2 linked regions of the Rhinolophus ferrumequinum genome follow. The protein of the gene in region 2 interacts with the protein of the main gene of each other region in a pairwise test. Links are inferred from orthologs where the notes say so. Each region holds a gene or a part of one and is shown on either strand. Other genes may lie near its edges. The genes, in order: ZNF646 and PRKG1.

The links.
Region 1: the proteins of PRKG1 (region 2) and ZNF646 interact in binary tests that used the Homo sapiens proteins (3 or more experiments, as listed by UniProt). The two-hybrid records come from large-scale screens. The link is inferred for Rhinolophus ferrumequinum from reciprocal best matches to the Homo sapiens genes PRKG1 and ZNF646.

What each region holds. Positions count from the first base shown.
Region 1 is NW_022680357.1:306,452-319,081, forward strand, and holds the start of ZNF646 (zinc finger protein 646), read right to left. Parts: upstream 4,761-12,630; 5' UTR 4,624-4,760; intron 4,432-4,623; exon of another isoform or gene 4,142-4,431; intron 3,011-4,141; 5' UTR 2,929-3,010; coding exon 1-2,928. Other genes in the region: ZNF668 (zinc finger protein 668), read left to right, coding at 8,877-8,899, 9,222-9,890, 10,410-11,622. UniProt on the Homo sapiens protein: May be involved in transcriptional regulation.
Region 2 is NC_046299.1:34,128,984-34,141,266, forward strand, and holds the start of PRKG1 (cGMP-dependent protein kinase 1), read left to right. Parts: upstream 1-6,253; 5' UTR 6,254-6,690; coding exon 6,691-7,001; intron 7,002-12,283. UniProt on the Homo sapiens protein: Serine/threonine protein kinase that acts as a key mediator of the nitric oxide (NO)/cGMP signaling pathway. GMP binding activates PRKG1, which phosphorylates serines and threonines on many cellular proteins.

The sequences.
Region 1 (12,630 bases), on a different chromosome or scaffold from region 2:
ACTCTGACTGCGGTGGTGACGCTCCAGGCTCCCCAGGTCATCGTAAGTCTGACCGCAGCAGCCACAGATGTGCCCGTACCCGGCTCCGTCCAGCGCCTCCACCTCCCGCTGCAGCTGGTTCAACAGCTCTGCTTCTGAGAGCTGCAGCGGGGCGCTGGGCGTGGAGGGGGCGGCGGCCGCCCCTTCCTCGTCGCCCTCCTCCTCCTCCCCCTCAGTCATGCCGGAGGAGCCATGAGCCTGGCGCCTGTGGAGCCTGTAGCCTGCCCGCCCGGGGAAGATCATGCCGCAGAGGCAGCAGAGGAAAGGCTGTGCTGGGGCCACCTCCCCGGGCCCGTGGTTCTGGAAGTGGCTGCGCAGGGCGGGCAGGGAGTCAAACTCCTTGGGACAGAGGGAGCACTGGTAGATGCCGGGCGGGTGGCAGGGCCTGTGGCTCAGCAGGCCGGTGGCGTGGGGGAAAGAGTGCCCACAGTCAGAACACGTGTGGGCCACCTCAGCCTGACAGCCAGTGACAGCTCTGGCAGAGTGGGCAGAGCAGCTGGGCTGGCCAGGGGCCAGCTTCTGGTCTTCACCCGCCCCCGGGAGGCCATCACAGAAGCGAGGCCCACCGCTTTCCTCGTCACCTGGGATGTCCAAGCTGTCAAGGAAACAGGCCTCCTTCCTCTCCAGCCCTTCCTTAGGGCCTCTGCTCTCCTTATCACCCTGGAAACAGGCCTCGTCCCTCTCCAGCCCACACCTGTCCCTTGCAGCTTGAGCCTGCAAAGAGTCCCCCTCGCTTTCCAAGCTGCCCTCAGCTCCATGAGGACTTTTCCCTGGCAGGTCCTGGGGACAGTCCAGGCCCTCACTGTCTCCCGCCAGCTCCCAGTTCCCAGGGAGCGTGGCGCCTCCGTCACTGCCGGCACTGTCGGCCTGGCCCCGCAGCTGCCTGCCCCGCCGCCGACTGTGGCGACGCAAATGGTTCTTCATGGCAGCCATGGTGTGGAAGTGCTTGGCGCAGGCAGCACAGCTGAAGTCCCCCGTCTGGTGGGTCTGCCTGTGGTTGATGAGGCTGCCTGAGTGGCGATAGCTCTTTCCACAGTCTCGGCAGGCAAATGCCCGGGGAGGTGACAGCCTGGTCTCTGTCCTGCTGCTTTTCCCTTCTCCGAGGGTTTGGCCATGCCGTTCAAGGTTCTCAAGGTCTTCAAAGAGCACCCTGCCCATGCTACATATCTGTGGTGCTGTCCTATTTGCTGCTGGGGGGCCCTCCGTGGACTCCTCTTCGTGTTTGCACCCATCGCCCTGATCTGTACATGGGGCTGCCTTTGCTCCCCCCTGGTCAGCGGGAACCTCCCCCTTGAGGTGGCTGGGGGGACCTTCGGCCCCTGAGCCAGTGCTGAGGCGTGCAGACTTGCAATGGACTCGCACGTGGTTGCGCAGGGCCATCAGGTTGGGATACTTGCGGGGACAGAGCGAGCACTGGTACTCTCCTGTCTGATGGCTGTGGCGGTGGTTCACGAGGCTCCCGCGGTGGCGATAAGCCCGACCACATTCATTACACTTGTAGGGGCGATGGTCCAGGGTGGGGCTGGGGACCTCTGTCTCTTTATGGGTGGTCTCGGCCGGGGGCAGGGAAGCTGGTAGCACTGATGGCCCATCCTCGCCAGCTCCTTGCCGGGGTCTGTGATGAGCCCGCACATGGTTTTTGAGAGCGGCTGCGTTGAACAGCTGCTTGGAACAGATGGAGCAGGGGTAGACACCTGTCTGGTGGCTCTTGCGATGGTTGATGAGGCTCCCGGCATGGCGGTAAGTACGGCCACAGTCCCCGCAGCGGAAAGGTCGATACTCCTCCAGGCCACTGTCCTCCAGGTCCCCAGAAACGCTGAGCTCCTCAGCGCCATTCAACATCGGGGCACTAGGGAGCTGGTCCTGGCTGCTCTCATCTGTGTGCCCGTTGGTGGTGGGTACCCCTTTCTCTTCCCACAGCCGCTCCTGCCTCTCACCCTCATGGGACTGCTGGTGTTCCAGCAGCTCTCGGGGGAGCCGGAAGGCACGGGGGCAGTGAGGACACTGGTAAGGCCGGTACTGGGCATGGAGTCGCGAGTGGTTCTTCAGAGCCATGAGGTTAGAGAACTCCTTGAAGCAGATGGCACAAGGGTAGATGCCGACAGTGTGGCTCTGGCGGTGGTTGGTGAGGCTCCCGGCATGCTTGTACGTCTTGCCGCATTGACTGCACTTGTACCGCCGTTCCTCCTCAGCAGGAAGGGACTGGGGTGGCTCCTGACCCCCCGTGAAATTCACCATTGACTCAGCTAAATACTGTTCCAAATTGCTAAGGAGGCTGCTGGCCGGAGTAGGGAGCGGTGGGGCTCTGGCAGAGTTGGTGGTGGGCCCCCAGCCCTCTGCACCCTCCTCAGAATGTGGCTGGCTTTCCCAGCCTTCCCTTTGTCTGGTGTGTGGATCTTCCCAAGTGCCCAGAGCTGCCTTAGGGTCAGGCTCAGATGCACAGATAGATGTCTCTTCGGTGTGTTTTTTCTGGTTTCCCCAGCTTTCCCCATGGCCAAGCCTCTGGCCCCAGGAGTCAGTGGATACTGTCTCCCCCTGAAGGTGTTGAGTGGCTTCCTTGGGGCGGGGGGGTCTGCGCCTGCGGCGGCCCTCAGGAGCATGAGTCCTCATGTGGCTCTTGAGGGCCATGGGATTGGTGAAGTCCTTGCCACAGGTGGTACAGGGGAAAAGGCCAGTCTCGTGGGTCCGGCGGTGGTTGACCAGGCTCCCTGGGTGGCGGTAGCCCCGCCCACACTGCTGACAGCGGTAGGGCCGAGGGATGCTGTCAGCCTCCTCACTGTCCTGGTTGGAGGATGGATGGAGTAGTTCTCGGTGCCGTGACAGTTCCGGGAGGCTAGGGAAGTGGCGCTGACAGTCACAGCAGCTGAGTGAGGTGGGCGCGTCCTCCATGGGGCAGTGCGACAGAAACCTGGAGGTTTAGGAGGACCAGGCAGGTGGCAGCGGCATCTTCCTCCGGTGTTGGGGCCAAGGCCTAGGAAGATGGGGCAGTGGTCAGAAGAGAGGCCTGAATCAACTTTGCCCTTTGGCTCTGTAAGCAAGTTCACCAGCGGTCACAGAGAGGTTCCCCAAGCAGCGATGCCCAGGGACCGGCTTTCTATGGACTAATCTGGAAGCACCATCAGGTAAGACCTCCCTGCACACAAGCTCCCTAGGCCTACCTCATCCCCACAGGTATAGAAAAGGAAACTTAAGTCTAGAGAGATGTACCCTATCTCTGATCACAAACCTCTTAAGCTGTTCTTCAGACCAAATCCAGAAAGTCTTCCTGCCCCAACCCTCTCCTCTCTACAACCAACCAACCTATCTTCTGTGTCGTCTTAACAGGAAACCCGAACCTTTTCCAGGACTTTCAGTAAGAGATGTCCAATCCTCCCTTCTTCACCCCTCAGCTAAACAGAGTAGCCTCGAGGCGTTGACAAAGCAGCCTCTTTCTCCAGGTGACCTGAGAGGTGACGTCAGGGGCCCCCTTCAGAGAAGGGGCTGGCTTGTTCCCCCACATCCGCATGTGATTCTTTCAGGGTCACAAGGTCTCCTTTTCAAAAGACTCTCTTGGCCACTTCCTCCACCTACTTCCCCTGAACCCAAACTCTATTCCATCATGGAAAATTCAATCCCATTTCTGGTGTCCTTCACCCCTTTTTTCTTTCCCACACCTCCTCACGATACCGTCACCACCCCTTGTCATTTTTTTCTTCTAATACTGAGGATGACAGCAACGCATGTTAGCTGGGCACCACCGTGTGCCCGGCGCTGTGCGAATCGGAGACTATTCATTGTCACTTAATCCTCAAAACACACCGCAAAGCGGGAGGTCCCCGTTTACACAGGAGCAAACCCACTGATTCAGGCAATCGTCTCTCCCAAGCCCTTGCCCTCCCCACAGCACGCCCCGCGCTATCTCTGCCTCTGCTTCTTCACTCCCCTTGGACCCAAACACAACTCCTCCCTCCGACGAAGCCCCTCGCTAAGCCCCTCACGGAACCTGCTCCCCCAGTTCTCACCACACAAAGCCCCTTCGCTCAAGAGTCCTGTCTCCTGATCGACCACCGAGGTCCTCTCGCCTCATTCATCTCCCGGGCCAACTTCCTCTTGGGACCCCTACCTGGCACGAGTGGCCCCTCCTCGTTCCCGCCGCGGGTGCGTCCGTTGGGGACCGCGAACGGGAGCGCGCCTGCGCACTGGGACCCTCACTCTAACTGCAGCCGCGCGCCCCACGGGGTGGCCGTGGGGAGTTCTCGCGCTCCCACACACGCACCCTCCGCCAGAGCTCCCAGGAGGTGGGAGGGGAGGGAAAGAGGGAAAGGAGAAGGGGAATAAGGAAGGAGGCAGAGCAGAGAGGGCGCAGCTGATCCGAGCCAGGGGTCTAACCCCAGCTCCGCGGATACTTCCTATTGTTACTAGGAAACAGGAAGTGTCCTAGCCGCAAAAGCTTCCCCGCGAAACCTCGGTCTGGAGAACACTTCCGGACCCGCCTCCAAGCAGCCCTGCTACACAGACACACTTCCGGCGCTAAGCAAGTAGTAGCTACAATGCGACTCTGGCCCCGCCCACGTAGGTCACAGCGCGGCGTCGTTTCGCACTAACCTCAGCCACATTTCCGGCCAGAGGGGCTCAAGCCGTTCCGGTGCAAAGTGACCGAGTTCGGAAGAGGACAACAAAAACAGGGTTCTGCAGCCGCAGCCTTAGGACTTTGGCGACACTTTTCGTGGGGCTCCCTGAAAATCTTCTCAAGACAGATGGAGGGAGCTTCACGCACGCACTCCTTGCTGTGAAGGGAAATGTGAAATATAAGAGGATTTAGGAACTGCAGTGCTTGAGCATGGCCTTTCTGTATTCCCACCTTCTAGTTCTTGGTGATCTGGCCCCAAGCTAGCAGTAGCCCTGTGTCACTAGGAAGCCTTTTCGGCGTCCCCTGGCCTGAGTCCCCACAGCGACCCCTTGCAAGGTGTTTCTCCGCCACCTTCGGCCGGGGATGCGCTGGTAAACTTTGCCTTCCTCCCCAGCGGGGGGAGCTCCCTTCCACTTCCGTCCCCCGGCCCCGCCTCCCCCACCCGCTGGGTCCTAGCGCCTGCCCCTCCCTGCTAGTGTCCCGGGCTCCGTCGCTGAGCGGAGCTGCCACTGACGCCAAGGAGCCAGCCCAAGTCGGTTCAGGTAGGAAACGCTGCGGGAAGCCGCGGGGACCCCAGCACGCAATCCGATCGGACCTCAGTTTCCCTGTGGGCGCCGAGGGCGAATGGTGTTGGCCTGGCGCGAGCAGCGCGGGCGGGGCGGGAGTGGTGCGGCCCAGGGAGGGAGCGGGCGGGCTCCGGGCCCAGCGGGTCCTAGAACCCGCCGGCTGTCCCCACCGGAGGGCTGCTGCGGATGCCTGGGCTCGGCCCGCGCGGCTGCCCGCCTTGAGCTGTGCGGGCTCGGGGGTCCTAGAGCCCACCATGTTGCAGGCTTTTGTCTTAGGCGCGGGGCCCGCTTAGGTAGGGCCCCGGCGCCTGCGACCCCCCTCCCCGGTCGAGGTCCTCGTCGCCCCTCCCGCGGTCCTAGAGAACGCCATTTGCAGGCCTTTGTCCAGCGCCGGGCCTCGGTCCATTCATTTGTTCATTCTCTCATTCTTCGTTTCCTCCTTGCCACGTTCTCCGAGGCCACTTTTTCCCAGGGCTTATTACGAGATGAGTCAGCCCAGGGCCCTGCCCTGCTAGGCTGTCTGGCGGGAGCGCCGACAGAGAGAAGGTTGCAGGGAGCGAGAAGCGCAGGTTTTCTGCAGCTCTCAGCCTTTCCTCGGCGCTTCTCGGATGCCATAACGCTCTTCAAACTCCCACGTACCCCAGAGGCCCCAATTTATTGATGGGAAAACCGAGGCTCAGAGCGCCGTGGCGCCCTTACTTCTGCTGCCTGTTAAGTATTCCTGAGGGCACTGGGGAAACAGGCATTTGAAGGATGCAAAAGAGTTTTCCCTTGGGGGAGAAGGCAAACAATGGCTTCCGAGGAAGAGGGCACTCACTGCCTGTGGAGATGCATTTAGGTGGGGAAGTTTGAGAATTGTGGCGGGAGGCTTGGGAGGGGGACATTGCTGCTGGAGCCTAGGCTGGAAAAGTAGGTTGTTTACTGACCAGGGTGGAGGCTTAGGAGATGATTGGCTCTAACCTTTGCGCGGTTCACAGTTCCCCATCCACCCTTCCAAATCTGTCAAGGGCTGTGAAGCCTGTGGGTGACTGCTTGTTTAGATGTAGGGAGACTAAGGTGCAGAGAGGATAAAAAGTGGCTCCCTTTTCACCTCACCCCTGTTCGCAGGGCCCGAGCCTAAACTCTCCGGGAATTAAATCTCTGCATCCCTAGATTTAGAGCCTGTTTGGGTACCAGGACTTCATCCCAGTCCTGAGCCAGTAGTGAAGCGCACACCTCCCTCACTAGAGTGACGAACCCAGTGTGGAAAATGGGGTGCTATTTGGACTTGGGAACTTGGACAGGCAGAGAAATTCAGTTAATAGTTGTTGATGGACGTTCTCACAAATGCCTACTGTAGCTCCAGGCCTGGGTTTGTTTTGGGGGCGCCAGTAACAGTTCTAGGGGTAGGGGATCCAGAATAATAAAGGTTACGGACTCCTCACCAGCCTAGACTGTTGTGCTGGAAACAGAGAATTAACAACCAAGCTGTAAAATGGGTAAGTGCTACCGAAGCAATAATCAGGGGGCAGAGAGTGGGAGTCTGGGGGGCAGACCGCCTGACTCTGACTCTCCTGCCTGTGACTGTGACTAGATATTTCGTTTGTGTGGGCCTCAGTACCCTTGTCGGTAACATGGGGGAAATGATGCCGTTTAATTGAGTCTGTTCAGGCTATCAAAACAAAAACCACAGACTGGGGGGCTTAAACACCAGAAATGTATTTCTCACAGTCCTGGAGGTTGGGAAGTCCAAGATCAAGATGCTGGCCAATTCAGTTCCTGGTGAGAGCTCTCTTCCTGGCTTACACAAGGCCACCTTCTCGCTATGTCCTCACGTGTCCTTTCCTTCTTGCACACACACATTCAGCCCATAACACATTTCTAGGCAGTTATGAGGCTTAGCTTAAGCGGTACACGTAAAATTCTTAGGATGATACCGGCCCGTGGTAAACTTGCAAGGAATGTTGTCCAAATGAGCACCGTAAAGGAAATTCAAGGGGTGGGGGGTATAGAGAGTGATCAGCAGGGGTGCAGATGGCATTAAGAAAGGTGTTCAGGAACGCCCTCTGAGGTGACAGGGAGCTGAGAGTGAAATCAAGGAGACAGCTGCACAGATATCCTTGGGGATAGTGGTTCCGGTGGAGGTAAGTGCTAGTGCAAAGACCTTGAAGTGGGAAGGAATTTAGCTCTCAGAGGAAAAGAAAGGGAGCCTAGGAGCCAGGGAAGAGGGGTGGGAAGTGAAATGGGCAGGAGTTAGGTGGTTCAGGGCCTTGTTGACCATGAAAAAGATATTGGTCTTTGTCGTAGGAGCAGTGGAAAGTGTCATGATTTGGCTGGTAAGCCTTAAGTAAATGAAGACTCGTAGACAAAGAGCCCAGCCAGAGATCTGAAGATGTGGGTTTAAGTCTGGGCTCCTTGACCAGCTGTGTGCCCTTGTGCATGTTGTCCCCCTTATGGGGGCTTAATCTCCACACCTGAAAACAAGGTATAGTAAGAACGCTTCTCGCCTAGAAGCTGTGACGATGTATGGGCGTGTCTTTCGTTCTTAAATGCTGAGTGTTGGTTGGAGTGACACAGAGCATGTCCACGGTACAGATTTTGAGTTGTGCCCCTCACTCCCCAGATTGTTATTTTCATATAGGGGGTGCCCAGACCTGATGTGGAGAATTGGGTGGACACGTCCTCAGTCAGGTGTGAAGCGAGGAGCTAATGGTGGGATTTGAGGCAGGGGCCTAGCCTGCCTGGCCCTCTGTTCTGTGGATTGTGTGTGTCGGGGTGGGGGACTGAGGCAGGCTCCAGGCCGAGGGTGCTGACTCTAAAGATGCAGCCCCTGCCACTCACCCCAGGGGCTTCCCTGTCCTCCCGGGGTCATAACTTAGAAGCCACCCATCCCTGGGGCGTACAGATAAGGAAACAGTCTTAGAATAGAGGAGGGATCTCAGGCTTCCTACCTCCCAGCCTCGGCTCTGGGCACACCAGGCTCCCCACTCCCCTTCTCTGTGGCAAAGCCTCAACCCCCCCCCCCAGGCCACCCCCAGCAGCAAAGCTGCCCAGCTCCTTAAGTGGATCTGCCGTAATCCTCTTCCCTTCATCCTCCAGGGAGGATGAGCCGGTGTTAGGACTAATGCAGCTGTTAATCCTATTTCCTTCCAGCCATGATCCCCAGGAACAGCTGTGTGGAGGGTGTCTGGGCTCTGAACCGGGAAAGAAGGGGCCTCCGCTAAAATGGGTGTCCCGGGAGCCAGGCTAGATCAGACACATTGATTATGACTCAGAGGCTTCTAACTGCTAGCAAGCTGCCTTGAGAGTAACTGAACTTTCCATGGTCAGAACTAGAACTATGGGAACAGGAGCCCAACAGCGATTCCAGAGCAGAAGGCAGACCGGGATTCCTGTCTGGGGTGGAGTCCCTCACTTGTGCAGGGCCAGAATTCTGCATGGACAGTTGCTGTGTCTGAAAGCTAACCAACCAGAGGGGAAAATAAAACACATGTGCTGGGGAACTATCACTTCCAGACAGGCGGTGCCAATCACCACCTTAGCCCACTGGTTCTGCTATCTTCCGGACCCACCTCTGTCTTCACTGGGCACTTGGAGACCTTCAGACCAGACCCACAGCTGGGTAGCCTATGTCTGCAGCCCTGCATTCTGGCACAGGCTGACTTGAAGAAAGAAGATATGAGATGGATAGAACCAGTGCCACCAGGTGTGGAAAAGCTCAGAGGCTGGGGAAGGAAGTGAGGTGGCGTTTTGATGACCCCAGACTCCTCCCTTAGCCCCTCTGAAGTCACTGGCTCCGACTCCCTTCATCAGTGAACAGATTAGAGAGGAAAGTTGAGCAGAACATCAGAGCCAGGAAGTGTTAAGGAGAAAGGATGTGGCGGTCCCAAGTGGGACACGCAAATGAAACAGGGTTCCTTGGCAGGCCTCAAGAGGGCATTGGGGAGGGGAGAGGCCTTGGAGAATAGCAGGGGGTGTGGTTTGGAGAATAGCAGAGGGATGTGCTTCTAACTCTGCTTCTCTCGCAGAGAAGCTTTGCCCATCAAGGCCATGGAGGTGGACGCTGTGGAGGCCCGGTCCCAAGGCCCCGGCTATAAGCGCTCCGGCCGGCGTTACAAGTGCCTGTCCTGTACCAAGACGTTTCCAAATGCGCCCAGGGCAGCGCGCCACGCTGCCACTCACGGGCCTGTAGACTGCACAGAGGAGGCGGCAGAGGTGAAGCTGAAGCCAGAGGCAGAACCCAATGCAGAAGATGCCGGCGGGGACAAGGTGTCAGGTGCAGCAGCTAAGCCTCGGCCCTATGCGTGCCCGCTGTGCCCCAAAGCCTACAAAACGGCCCCCGAGCTGCGTAGTCACGGTCGCAGCCACACGGGTGAGAAGCCCTTCCCTTGCCCCGAGTGCGGCCGCCGCTTCATGCAGCCGGTGTGCCTGCGTGTGCACCTGGCCTCGCACGCTGGCGAGCTGCCGTTCCGCTGCACGCACTGCCCCAAGGCCTATGGCGCGCTCTCCAAGCTAAAGATCCACCAACGCGGCCACACCGGCGAGCGGCCCTACGCCTGCGCCGACTGCGGCAAGAGCTTTGCCGACCCGTCAGTGTTCCGCAAGCACCGGCGCACACACGCCGGCCTGCGTCCGTATGGCTGCGAGCGCTGTGGCAAGGCCTATGCAGAGCTCAAGGACCTGCGCAACCACGAGCGGTGAGGGCTCCGTAAGGGGCTGGGAAGAGCAGGCCAGCGGGGTAGAGGCGGGACGGCAGCAGCTCCCCTGTGGGGACCAGTGGGGCCCCTGGTTGGGTCTTAAGGAACGGGATGAGCCAATGGGAAGATGCGTGGGGTGGAACCAGGATTGGTGAGCACGTGGGAGAAGCTGGTGGCCCTGATTGGTTGGTGCGTGGGGCCGCCTGCTGTGGGATGGGGCCTTGGAGGATGGGAGTGCAGTCTGATTGGCCTGAGTTCCTAGGCAGCATGAAAAGGGGCGGGGCTTCAAGTTGGGCTACCTAGAGGGTCTCTGGGGGAGACCAGAAGGCCTGAGTGGGGCCTGCTCTGTCTAGGTCTTTGGGGTGCTGAGAAGGGTCTCTGAGGTGCAGCCCTGTGGCTCTTAGAGGATTGGGCCAATGCTCCCAGGATGTTAGGGGGCCCGAACTGAGCGTACAGAGGGCAGCAGGGGTTGGGTGATGGGCCTGCCACCCTCATGCCGGGTTCCCCACACTCCCGCAGGTCCCACACCGGTGAGCGGCCCTTTCTCTGCTCAGAGTGCGGGAAGAGCTTCTCCCGCTCATCCTCGCTCACCTGCCACCAGCGCATCCATGCAGCGCAGAAGCCCTATCGCTGCCCGGCCTGTGGCAAGGGCTTCACGCAGCTCAGCTCCTACCAGAGCCACGAGCGCACTCACTCCGGCGAGAAGCCCTTCCTGTGCCCGCGCTGCGGCCGCATGTTCTCGGACCCCTCAAGTTTCCGGCGCCACCAGCGAGCGCACGAGGGCGTAAAGCCTTACCGTTGCGAGAAGTGTGGCAAGGACTTCCGGCAGCCTGCGGACTTGGCGATGCATCGGCGGGTGCACACCGGCGACCGGCCGTTTAAATGCCTGCAGTGTGACAAGACGTTCGTGGCCTCCTGGGACCTCAAGCGGCACGCGTTGGTGCACTCAGGCCAGCGGCCCTTCCGCTGTGAGGAGTGCGGGCGAGCGTTTGCCGAGAGGGCCAGTCTCACGAAGCACAGCCGGGTGCACTCCGGGGAGCGCCCCTTCCATTGCAACGCCTGTGGCAAGTCCTTTGTGGTGTCGTCCAGCCTGAGGAAGCACGAGCGGACCCATCGAAGTAGCGAGGCCGCAGGGGCCCCCCCACAACAGGAGCTGGTCGTGGGGCTGGCACTGCCCGTCAGTGTGGCTGGCGAGGGCTCGGAGGCCCCAGCAGCAGGGGCGGGGTTAGGGGACCCTCCACCAGGGCTGCTGGGGCTGCCCCCAGAATCAGGCGGGGTGATGGCCACCCAGTGGCAAGTGGTGGGCATGACGGTGGAGCATGTAGAGTGCCAAGATGCTGGCGTTGGGGAGGCTCCTGGTCCCTTGGGGGGCGCAGGCGAGGTGGGGGCTGAGGAGGTAGACGAGAAGCCCCCGCAGTTCGTGTGCCGGGAGTGCAAGGAGCTGTTCTGCACGCCGACGTTGCTGCGACGGCACGAGCGCTCACACCCAGAGCTGCGGCCCTTTCCCTGCACCCAGTGCGGCAAGAGTTTCTCAGACCGGGCTGGGCTGCGCAAGCACAGCCGCACACACAGCGCTGAGCGCCCCTACACCTGCCCCCACTGCCCCAAGGCCTTTCTGAGTGCCAGCGACCTGCGCAAGCACGAACGCACCCACCCTGTGCCCATTGGGACCCCCACGCCCCTCGAGCCCCTCGTGGCTTTGCTAGGAATGCCTGAAGAGGGGCCAGCCTGAGGCCCATGCCACTTCCTGGGCACTCCTGGGAGCCCAGCCCCCACAGGGTGCCTCCCGAATCTCCCTTTGCCCAGCTTACTCTTTAGACCAGATCCCTGCTCTCCCGGCAGCCAGCTCACCTTCCCAACAAAGATCTGGGGACAGTGGAGGCTGGCCCCCTGCTGGTGAGAGTCATGGCTCTCTCTGAGTGACACTATTAAAACATTCACTTTGACACTGGGTTGTCTTCTGTGTTCCAGTTGGGAGTAAGGGAGGTTGGACATCAGATGAGGTTCAGTGGAGAACCTGGATTGATAGATTAGAGACTAGAATGTCTTGGAGTGCTTTGTTTCTCAAAGTATGTTTCAGAATGTCTTGTGACAAAGGGTTCCATGGTCAAGTAAATACAGGAAATTCCCTGTGCCTTAGGGATTCTTGGTGATTAAAAGTGCAGTAAAGTCAGTGATAAGTCCTGCAACGAACAAATCTATTTAGCTCTGTTTATCCTGTGTATATATATATATATATATATATATATATATATATATATTTTTTTTTTTTTTTTTTAAAGATTTTAGTGGGGGAAGGGGAACAGGACTTTATTGGGGAACAGTGTGTACTTCCAGACCTTTTTTCCAAGTCAAGTTGTTGTCCTTTCAATCTTAGTTGTGGAGGGTGCCGTTCAGCTTCAAGTGGTTCTTTCAGTCTTTGTTGTTGTGGAGGGCGCAGCTCAGCTCCAGGTCCAGTTGCTGTTGTTAGTTGCAGGGGGCACAGCCCACCATCCTTTGCAGGAGTTGAACCGGCAACCTTGTGGTTGAAAGCCTGCGCCCCAACCAAATGAGCCATCCAGGAGCTCAGCGGCAGCTCAGCTCAAGGTGCCGTGTTCAATCTTAGTTGCAGGGGGCAGACCCCACCATCCCTTATGGGATTCGAGGAGTAGAACCGGCAAGCTTGTGGTTGAGAGCCCACTGGCCCATGTGGGAATTGAACTGGCAGCCTTCGGCATTAGGAGCATGGAGCTCCAACCTC
Region 2 (12,283 bases):
TCCTAACAATAGCAATTGCTTTTAATATTCCACAAATAAACATTTTGATGATTTCCCTGTCATTTTTCCCCCCGTAAAATTGGTATTCAACATAGAAGCTTCTCTAAGGAAGCTAGATGGTTATAATTTTTGCTGTACTATAATGTATGCAAAACTTCAATGAATTTTTCATAATTCCCTAAATGAACTCAGACCTTTACATAAAAACATTCTTACATAATGCAGTAACTTAGGACAGACATTGAATATTCTGCTTAATACCAAACAATGTAAAAGTCCCTTCTATTTTATATTTGTTTATATGGGGCATTAAAACCATATGATATTTTATCTATGACTGCTTTGGGCAACTTATTTATTATATAGGTGTTTGTACATATAATTTTTAAGTTTAATTCTGAGCCACTAATACTTAAAATATTCTTATGTACCAGATAAATGCTTGTGCTTTGAAAAATGAATTTTTAAAAATCTAGTCTGGACCAGGAAAAAGTTAGTAAATTTTTTTCCAGAAGTGTACATTGGCAAGTGACTGATAATTTAGCCATTGGTTTTAAATGCATAGCAAATATTATATATGCATCTCATAGGTCCCAGCTAAGGCTCTATCATTGTTCCAAGGGTAATGCTTTCATAAACAGCAGGCCCCATATCTTGGCCCTAGAATGACATCCATTTCTTTTACCAGCCTACTGGTCATTTGCCTATAATTAGAGATGGATTTCTAGATTTTGATCTCCTGAGGATTGTATAAAAGTCACAATATCAATAGCTAACTTAATTTGAAGTTAGGTGATATTTGTCCATTAAGTTAGTAAGTGTGAAGATCTATGTGTATTTCCCTACCAAGTCTTTTTGCCTGCAACTTCTTCTCTCCTCCAAGTCTCTGAAATTCTTGCAGTATAAACAAATGTCTTACCATTTTCTCTTGCCCAATTCATTCATCTTGCTTACTGAAAAAAATCCAATTCACTCAAAATTTCATTTTATTGTCCTTCTTACATCCTCAGTACTTTCCCACCTTACTAATTTTAGTAAGGTCACGAGCAAAATGTACTTTCAATTTTGATTATGTAGGAGGAAGATGGCAAGTTATATCAACTATTAAAAGCTATCTAAAATGAAAGCAAAAACAAAGTATCATTGACTCCAAAACTATTCTCCTATTGCCTTCATATCAAATCTATTTTCAAAAGCAAAATTATATTTGCAAATGTTTTTTAATATTTTTGGGAAAATACTAATCCATTAACTTAGGAAATAATGTGCATTTAAATACCAGAAGAATACTGAGTTGGAACTGCGAAACTGTAATTTGTTTATCAGATATGAGGTATTATGATGTTACATACCCATGTATATATTCATTAGGTTTAAGACGCGGTAAGATACCAGAGGGTAAGGGGTGGGGAGTGGTAGAAGGTAAAGGGGGTCAAATATAAGGTTATGGAAGGAGAATTGACTTTGGGTAGTGAACACAATACAGTATAAAGATGATGTATTATAAAAATACACTTGAAACCTATGCAATTTTACTAACCAATGTCACCGCAATAAATTTAATTTAAAAAAGATCGTGAAATAAGGTGACATTAAAAGAATGCAGTAAGATGTTTTGTGAAAAAGCATTTTAAATTCCATTTTATGCATTTAAAATTTGTCCATTCATGAAAACAATACAGAATACCTAATATTTTTCTTCTTAAAAATCTTTTATTTCTTGTGGTCTTTGGAAATGGGCAGCTTACTAACAGTACAAAGAAATAGTCTTTTTGTTAGCTAGTGCACAGATTGTTTGAGCACTAAGTTAGGCTAAGGCCCAATAATGACTTAGCATCGTTTTAAGTTGTGGACTATAAGAATTCATTTCAACTAATATTAGGCATGACGGTAATTTGGTATTAAACTCTAAGCACATTAGCAATTATGGTACAATGCACTATTACTTTCCAAGTCTCTGCAGTAAGTTTTTCATCATTAATGGTTTATGGTTTTTTTTTTCTTTTCCGTACAGAATGTGTCATTCTCAATAGCAGAACTTCAAAACAACCCAACCATAGAATTTTTACTTATATGCATTTAAATATGCATTCCTGATGGCTGACTCTATCGGCCTACACAGGCGTAAGAATTATATAATTCTATAGGAGATAAGTGAATAGGTGCTTATAATGCTGTGCTTAATCCGTAGGAAACCAGTCTTTCTAAACTCCAGATTTCTATAATAACAATAAAAGAAAACAGAGGCTTAAATCCTTGTCTAATTCATCAAAGTGTAATTAAAATTCTATTGTCTGATTCATTCTCCTTTATAGTCCAAAGACAATTTCTGTGGTGTATTAGTAGACGTTGGAATAGGATGATTGCTTTCCTAAAACATATTTATACAATTACATACATGAATTAGTAATGTGCCTAAAATAATAGGTATTATTGCAATGGATCTTCCTTGGTTTTACTTTTCTATCAGTAACTTTGAAAGCAAGATTTGAAAATATGCATAAAATACAGAGGCTCAGCAATCCTGAATTCATTAGGGTGATCAGCCATCCTGGTTTGCCCAGGACCAAGGGATACTTAGCGCTTTAGTTTGAAAATCAGGACAGTCCCAAGCAATTTTAGTATTAAAACTAGGACAATCCCAGACAAATTGATAGAAGTTGGTCATCCTGAACCAGGATGAAATGGCACAGGAGTGAAGACAGTGTTGGGAAAAAGAACTTTTTGAAAATCTGTTTCCTGCTTTTGCAGGATTTTCTAAGTGACTCCTCTTTCCACCTCCCCAGCCCCACAGTCAGGCTAGTTAGTGCTAAGAACACTCATTTCTTTGGATTCAGAACCAAGACAGCAGCAACAGTTGGAAGTTCTGCAGAAGGAAATGAAAGGTGGGGGAAAGGTGGGGGTAAGGGACTGAGCTGTGTATTAAGTGATCTGGATTTGAGTCCAGGCTCTACCATTTATTAGATGGGTGATTTTGCGCCTCCATTTTCTCAAATATAAATGGAAATAATGATAATGTCTAACTTGTAGAGTTCCATGAACAATGTTAGCTATGCATTAAGAGTTCAAGAAAGTATTAAATAACTGCGTTATTTAATATTTTATTCAATAATTCTGAGGTTTATTAAGGAAGGCATAATACTAATCCACATTCATGAGGGTTGGATACAAAATTGAAGAGTAATAATATGCCACAGGTTGGTTTGGCTACTGGAGAAGCTTTGCTTCTATTAGAGCTATTACAAACAGATTGCTGAAAAGTCGATTGTGAGTGGACTATGGAATTCTAGAGTATAAATTGGGTTCCTTCAAATTTGCATTGTTCTCTGTTTTAGCATGTATCATCAAGATGTCATCCCAAATAGGCAGTGAGAGAACTCAGTATATGTCATTCCACTTTACTCCTTTCCAGATTTATGGTAGCTACTTCTTAATGAGTAGAAAATAGACTTGTGCCTGATCTTTGATCTTAAAAATTTAGCCAACTACATTAACTATAAGACATACAGTAAAATTTGTCTGCAGGACCTTGATTTTTCACATAAAATTTATTCTGAGCATTTACCAAGTACAATGCAAAAAATGTTTAAGAAAATATTGGAATCACTCAAAAGGTGAGATGGAAAAATCAAGATCTAATCAGCCAGTTAAGAACATCATTGAAAAACGTACATAAAATATTTATTTCGACTTTAAGAACGTAAGAGGAAAGCCTAGAATTTTGATTTTGCATATATAACTATAAAGTATTTAAAGTATTATAAAGATACAATTAAATTATTCTTAAATTATATAGGCTAATATAACCAAATATATTTTTATACCTTGAACACCTTTCAAAGTGTAAGTCAGTTGTAATAGTTGTATCTTCTTGGTCATTTACTTTGTTTGCACTTATTAAAACAGATTCTTGACTTTTAATATGGGATTCATCGTGGAATATTTTGTATCACAAGACTTCCATTTAAAATGAAAATGTAACATGTACGAGTATATATCCTATAATTGTATCTAGATGTGATAGCTTAAATAGTGAAAAATATTTATATAATTCAGTGTAAAAAAACATCGCTTTTGTTAAAAAATACCCGAATATTTTTTGGTTGAAGTGCAATTTTTTTATGTGGGGGAGGGGGAAATGCTTTAGTTTCTATTTTCCTTTGTACATGTATACAGTCTTTCTACAAATGAGAAAGAATATCCTCTACTTTGTGCTGCTTGAAGACATTAAGTAACCCCATTTAGTCCTCAAATGAAACTTCAAATATAACCCTGCTTAGCAGTTATCTAATGATATTCCTTATACATTGCTTTTGATGTATTTTTAGACATAAACTCTTGGCCTCCTGGAACCCTATAATAGATCAATAGAAAAAAAATCATTTAGTTTTAAACATTTTCCCATGGAATTAAAGAATTCCCATAGGTTAAAAAGATAAGAATTTGGCCTTTTGCCTGGGAAAGGGAAAATATCACAGGAGCTCTTTTAGAATAGTGTCACTTATACAAAGCCACAGAACTTCTGCTTGGTTTAGTTTTAATTAAGACAACAATAATTCAGAGCTATCATTTCCTGCTATCAGTATTTATAAGTTATTCATGTTTTGTTCATCACAAATGAAAATGTTTTGAGAATTATCCACTTTGTATATTACATGTCCATGTTGGAAAGCAGAAAAATTAAGTGTCTTAAGTCATCTGTGTTGAGAAAATTAGATCATAATCTGCATGGAAGAATGTTTAAGATTATATATCCTTTGTCATTTACACCTCTAATTCCAAACAAATACACTTTAAATAAAAAAGCTTGCTACCTTGCCTGTGGCTAGCTGGTCTTCCCTTCCCTTCCCTTCCCTTCCCTTCCCTTCCTTTCCCTTCCCTTCCCTTCCCTTCCCCTTCCTTCCTTCTTCATTCCTTTTTCTTCCTTCCTTCCTTCTGTTCTTCCTTCCTTCTTTCCTTCTTTCCTTTGTTTTTTTCTTTTTCAGCTTAGATAGGAAAGTTTTGTATTCAAAAGTAAAAGTGAGCAAGTTTGTTTTGAGACTAATATACGTCCTTGGCTAAGTTTAGATTCCAGTGAATAGTTCTGGATTCCAATTCAGTTTTAAACTATTGTCTATCTACTTTGTTTAGTTTCAGGGAATTGCCAAATTCAGCATTGAGGTTTATAATACTGAGTGTCCATGAATAGTAATTAGAGGGCTGCTAATAAACATACTATAAAATGGGATGAGTTGGTAAAGATTTAGATAAATATTAGGAATTTAGTTAAGTATAAAGTAAATATTTGGAGATTCTAAACATGTCTTCCAATGATGGCAGAATTACCCTTGGAAAAAAAGGATGCTACCTCATAGTCATCGTTGTTGGAAATTTTGAGTGGGCAGGCATGGAGTGGGGTGCTATAGTGTACGATTTATTGCAGCCCAACTTGGGTCCCCCTTCTCTTTATGATCTTCCCTCTTTTTCAAAGTTTGAGTCTTGCCATTCAAGTGGAAGGGTACAGTCCTAACACTTTGGTTGTCAGGGCAGTAATATTTTTAAAGGTATAGTTCAATTTTAGGATGAACTTTTTGAAGCTCAGTAATGATTCCCCCCCAACCCCCCCACCCCAAATTAAGCAAAGGGAAGTAGCAATGCCCATCTATGAACAATTCTGCAGACACTAGCTCAGGATAGTGGAGAAGCTGAGTAGTCTTTAGGGTCCAAACCCATTTTGGCCTGTACCCTAAAAAGAGTTCATTAACATAAGTTTTGAGGGGTGAGAGGTGAAAGGGGAGTCATGAGCGGGCAGAGAGTGGCAATGCTGAGGGAGAAAAGGTCAAACGTCCCACCCTCCAACCTCCCTTCCCCAAAGGCACCTGGGTGTTAGGGGGAATCCCTCCCAGGCATGGATTGGCTCTTATCTCCTGAGAGGCAAGTTTCTTTGCAGCGTTAGCCACCTGTGTGCTGCACTGCCGGTGGGAAAGGTGGCTTGGGTGAAGGGAGAGCTCAGCCACATCGCTCGGGAGCCTTTCTTGCTGAGGCTGGCGGTCCAAATACCTCCAGAACCCAGAGCGTTTAGGATGCAGAGTGCGTTCTGCCCGCTTAAATCGCCAGGATTGTAGCCCGTTGTCCTCCAGACCGGTCAGCTCTGGAGCCGGCTGACACCTCCCCAGTTTGCACAGGGTCCTGGCTGTCCTTTCTCTCACCTCCCCACCCCCAAAGTGGTGCTCCTGCCTCGCTCCGCCTGCTCGTCCCCTGGCGCGCCCCACAGGGTTATCAGGCTCCCCACACGCACCGCTGGCTTCCTCTGGCGCCCGGCACGAGCGACCCGAGCAGACCAACCACCGCCTGGGAGCCTCATTCACGTCCCCTTCTCCCGCTTCCCTGCCAGCGCGCTGCCTGCTGCTCTCCCCCGCGCTGCGGCGCCCACCGTGTGTCAGGTTTAATCCCGGGTTGGACCTGCTGCTTTGCTCATCCCCACACTCAGCCTCTCCGTCAGCCCCAAGAAGTGGAATCTGCACTGAAACTCTCCGTGGCTGGAGCCGGCGGACTGGGCATGCTCAGAAGCCAGGGCTGGCTTTGGTCTCAAGTAGGAAGCTTTTGCACTCGGGAGGCAGCGGCGACTTTGGGGAAAGTTGATCGGAGAGGGGAGGAAGCCCCAAGACGCGCAGCAGCGGCAGGAAGGAGCCCCCGGCAGCCCGGAGGAGCATGGGCACCCTGCGGGATTTGCAGTACGCGCTCCAGGAGAAGATCGAGGAGCTGAGGCAGCGCGATGCCCTCATCGACGAGCTGGAGCTGGAGTTGGATCAGAAGGACGAACTGATCCAGAAGCTGCAGAACGAGCTGGACAAGTACCGCTCGGTAATCCGGCCCGCCACCCAGCAGGCGCAGAAGCAGAGCGCCAGCACCTTGCAGGGAGAGCCGCGCACCAAGCGGCAGGCGATCTCCGCGGAGCCCACCGCGTTCGACATCCAGGATCTCAGCCATGTGACCCTGCCCTTCTACCCCAAGAGCCCGCAGTAAGCCGGGGTTGCGTGCCGGGGCCATGTGGCACCCTGTTGGTGGGGAGCGGCGGGTGTCTGTGTTGTCTGTCGGCCCCCGCCCCTCCCGCTTGCCTTCTCTGTCCTCATCCTCAGAAATGTTTCATTTCTGGCACCACTTGCGGGGCCGTGCACGTTTCTAGAGCCAGACTCCCTGCACCTACGTTGCCTTCATGTCTTTGTCAGATATCAAGCTATTTTTTAAAAAAAATCTGTACATGTACATTCATATATGCCAACTACTGATTATAGAGTTTGAATGTGCCCCAGGTGTGTGTCCGGCTGTGTGTGTATGAGTGAGTGTGAGAAGCTGAATAAAAAGCCCCATCTCCCAAATGCCTTGGCATAGCTGCCCAGCCGGAAAACCCTCAATGCCGGCTCATCAGACTTGAAATGAAATGCGTCTGATATCATCCTTACTTTCTATGTTTTGGTGGCTCTTCCGGATTTCTCTACATGCTGGCAGTTTACGCTGGTACCCTTCAAACCTGATCTTCTGTCATCATCAAAGTGTCAAAAATAAGCAAATGTGTATATAAGAGGGCAGCTTTTTTGATTTCCTGAATTGGATGGCATTTGCAATCCACAAATGGAAGCTTAGTCTGTTGATTTAAAAAAAAAATTTTTTTTCTTTTTCCATAACATCTGAGGGAGAATATTGCTTATTTTCCTTAAGGAATTTGCATTAGGTTACTCATGGGGCACCTCCTTCTCCAAAGGGGGTTCATGTTTTCAGGTTCAAATATAGAGAAGTACACTTACTTACCTTTATTGACAACGTAGACACACTATTTGCCTTACTCCTTGCTTCTGATGCAACCACCCTAGTATTGTTCTAGCATTTTAGAGAACTACGTAGTTCTGATGTCAGTGGGCTTCACAACTTGGGTGGGGAAAATTGAATGAAACTTGTTATACACCACTCAAGTCAGAGTTCTTATATAAAGTGGTAGGAACGTGAGATTAACATAGAATGAGCACCCACATGGATGGTGTTTTAAATTAACAGATAGTGGCACAATTGGCAAAATGAAGGATTTTGATGCTCTATTCCAAACTACATCACATTGGCTAGATAGCATGTTACATAATCATACAAGGTCCCTTGGAACCCTTCACTTCATAAAAACAAAGAACTAATATAAGGAGAGAGAGAGAGTAAATACTTGATTATATCATTTTGTACTTATTGGATTTGAGAGAGCTTGAGAGTATATACTAATTCCACTTTTGAAAACTTAAAGTTGTACCTATACTTGTTGGTTCCTGAAGAGCATTTGTTGTTCGTCATGCAGGTTTAGCTTAATGAGGGGTTCGTATTTTGTGAGAGAGTGGGGAAAAGACAAGAAGGATAAACATTTCTGAGATTCTGACCTCATCAAGTTGTCTAATAGTTCAGTAGACTTAGATCTGCCTTGGAAACCTGAATGGTTTCTATATTCACTCCAACTTTCTCTGCTAAATTAATTTGCAGTCCTGACATGCTTGCCTGTTTTAGCTAACGAGGTACATGGCCATCTCTCCTGGGCCAAGTTTTGCATAATGAAAAAAATAACTCAAAGACAGCTCTCTGGATCTTTAAGCATTCCACAGGATCTCACTTTAGTAACTGCAGGACTTTGGAGTAACACAGAGCAAACTCTGCTTTTATAAAAAGACCATTTTAATAGGTTTTATAATAAAGTATGATCAAGCCAGCTGATAATTCCAGTTAAATGTTGTATCAGACAAGATCTAAAGGAATCTAGAAAGTAGGGAAGGACCTGAAGTTTTAGAAATCTCTTAGTGCTTGACATGAAGAACAACTAGATTTTTTAAAAAGTCCACAGTGGAAAATGAAATTAGTGTGGCATATAATTCTGTTACAATTAACATTTTATCTGTCGAGCAATTCTCTGCATTCTGATATTTATTTAATAGCTTGTGCTTTAAAGAAGTCAGCTATTAAGGTATCACCATGATGGTTTCGGTAATTCTGAAAGATTATATTGAAGAAAATGATAGAATGTCTTCCAAGCTTAAATAATTTTGGAAAAACATCTGTTCTTTTTTTCACACTTACATAAAGGAAACTAGAATAAAATTGGCTTAAGTGGTAGAGTGTACCGCTCTTAAGAGAAAGAGAAGTGCAAAATTATTATTCTCATGTCACTTGAAGGATTGTGCAAGATAGCGCCACAAAAAATTAGGAAAATTTGCCAGAGAAGCCTCGTTTGCATTTCAATTTATTTTACTATAAAAAATTGATTATATTGGATTGGTGCAAAAGTAATTGTGGTTTTTGCAATTATTTTTAAACTTTTAAACTGCAGTTACTTTTGCACCAACCTCATACAGACACTGTCAACAAGTGTTTGTCATTATATTTCATCTTAGTGCAACTTAAATTTAGTCGTGTTTCTTAAACTTACACTCAGATTATTGGGAGTTCAAGTTAAAATCAAACCATCTAAATAGCATACAATTGATTTCAAATTCATATTAGTTTTCTGTTCTCTTTCCATTAGACGTTTTCTGTTCTCTTTCCAGTTAACATTCTGCTCAATTATCTGATATGTGCAAATATATTTGTTTACTTTTTGCTTGCTGAGGCCTTTTGAGGATGATTATTTTTGAAACTTTTGTTTTTCAGTGATTTTTGGTCATTTGGAAAATAGTGTAAAATGAAAATTAACTTATTAACTTAAATCATCTTAACATTTTTGGTTTGGAATTTTCTCTTTAAGCTGGGAATTAGAGGGAAGTCTCAGTCAGATTACAGGAGATGGCTAGGGACCTTCTGTTGCACCTGTGGGGTGTGAGAATGCTTTCGTCGCTTTTACACCTGTATACAAATAGCACCTAAGCCCTTTTTCGTTGTGAATGTGAGGCAAAGAACTCATGTAGCAAATTGAAATCTGTATTCCACTGATACAAAATAACTCCGTGAGGTGTAAACTATTAGGCTATATGTTTTGAAGTAGATTGAGCAAATAAACCCTTAAAATGTGAAAAAAAATCAATTTTATGAGATCAGATAGCCTTTCAGAGATCATATATATATATACATTTCTTATGAGCTTTTAAAGTAATTTTATTTCATGACATTTCATTCCTGAAAATTGATTTTATTTTTCTTTTAAGAGTGGAACTCTGATATTTTGATCTAAACCCTCTACCTATTGTAAATATTCCTACATCCTTTCCGTTTTGCTGTCACAGGGGCCCATGTCATTTCAGTTTGGCTATACAGATTTGAGTTCCTTATAAAAAGTTGTTTGTGTCTCTGTATTCTTGTTAATCTATTGCTTTTCACCCCAGAGGTAGCTGAATTTCAGGGAATTTTGACATATTTTGTTATGTTTCACTTTTTAATTGTGAAGTACTTTGGAAGAGCTGAGGATGAAGAAATACAGTTTCTTATTTTTAAGGAGGCATTCAGTTTAACAAGATCTTATATGAAGTTTTAAACCTTAACACTAGTACGTCTCAAGAGAAGTGGAATCTTTGTATAGGCTGTATTTAAATTCTGTGGGAAGTTGAGAGAATTCCAGGATTTTAGTGTAAGCATAGATGGCATAATATTAAAACATAGATATCTTCAAAAGCAACAGTTCAGTTTAAAATGCACCCTACAGCTCAGTTCTTTTATGAGATGTCTGCCTTGTGCAGGCTATTGTGAGGCATTAGAGGTGAGAGATATATAGGTGCTACCATCAAGGAGTTAACAAGTGGTTAACAGTACTGCACAAGTAAATATTCTAGAAAGTAGAGTAAGGCAAGTCACAGAGGCGATATCTAAGACGGTTGGCAAAATAGGATTGAGCCCACTTAATTTTGCGGTATCAGAAACTCTTATGGAATTGGAGTTGCTTAAAGTATATACATAATTGAAGGATGGCCATAATTTAATAGTGATGGGATGAGCGGGGTGGGGTAGGGATGGGGAAAGCCATCAGCAAAGGGACAGACAGCAAAAGAAAGCAGAGGGTACATCTGAGGAATGCCAGCAACTAGTGGCTGTCCCAGAACACCACACCATCGTGGGAATTGAGGAAAAGCAAGTTTAGGCCTGAGAGAATGACAATCTTAGTTTCTATTTTATAAAGTAGGTGAGAGGGCATTTCTGCTTGTTTTTGGAATAATCAAGAGTCGTGTGTGTGTGTTTTACTCGGAGAACTAGTTTTTACCCATAAGTAAAGCTCTGAATTTCAGAATATCAGTCCAATCCTCCACCCCTCACCAGCGCAGTACTGATTCATAACCACAGCTATTCCAACTAGGTAAGGGTATTTGATGTAACTAAGCAGCAGGTGATTAAAATTCTTAAAGAAACCCAGTTTCACTCTTTAAAAAAAGCACGTTCCGTTTTCCACTCACTTTAAAAATGTTCCCATTGAAAATAATCTAATTTTATACTACAGGCATCGTTGCAGGTTCCTCACATTCCTAGGCAAATGGGACATGAGAAATGAACCTGAAGCTAGTTTGTGAAATTCGTCTTTCTTGTTTTTGTGGAGGAATTTTAACGTTATTGTAATATGCTTTCCTATTTCAGTTTGCTCGTTAATTGGACATTGCAGTCTATGCAGTAAATTTGAATTTGTGGAAGACTTTATAAAAAATGTATGAGAACAGACTGCTGAAACCCTACTAGGGTGTTTTGAAGCACAGTTAAGTTGTGTGCCCCTAAAAGGGGGCTTATAATAAAAATACTGACAAGCCCTTAAATAGAGTAGCTTTAGAAACTGCCTGAGACTGTCAATGACCGGCTAGTTTCTTTGCTCTACTGGGCCACATTTCCAAACTCCCGCTACTTGTTACTTCACTAAAGAGTTGGATTTGTATTCCTAATGGGAAAGGGTAAAAGAAGGCAGATGATGTTTTTATTGTTGCCGTTTGCAGGTTATAAGGCATATGGAAACATTTTTTTTCTGTCTGCCTAGCAATGGAGGGTCTCCATGGTATCCTAGCAACCAGTTTCAACACTGGGGCTGCTGCTCTTTCTGCCATCTCTGCTATAGGTGCTGCTGCCCATCTCAGGGAACCAGGCCTGCTGCTAGCACTCAGGCCCTCCAACTTGAACCTTCCATGCTCGGAGAACACAAGACGATGATAAATAAGCACATGCTGCAAGCAGCGTTTACCAGCATGCTCAACAGCTTATTATGCAATCACATCTGTGGCATTTTGAATCCTAATCTGAATTGTTGAGCTAGTGCTCTTGGCCACCTCTTCCCTGACAGCCCGTCGCTACTTCCTCACACCCAGCCTCCTGACAC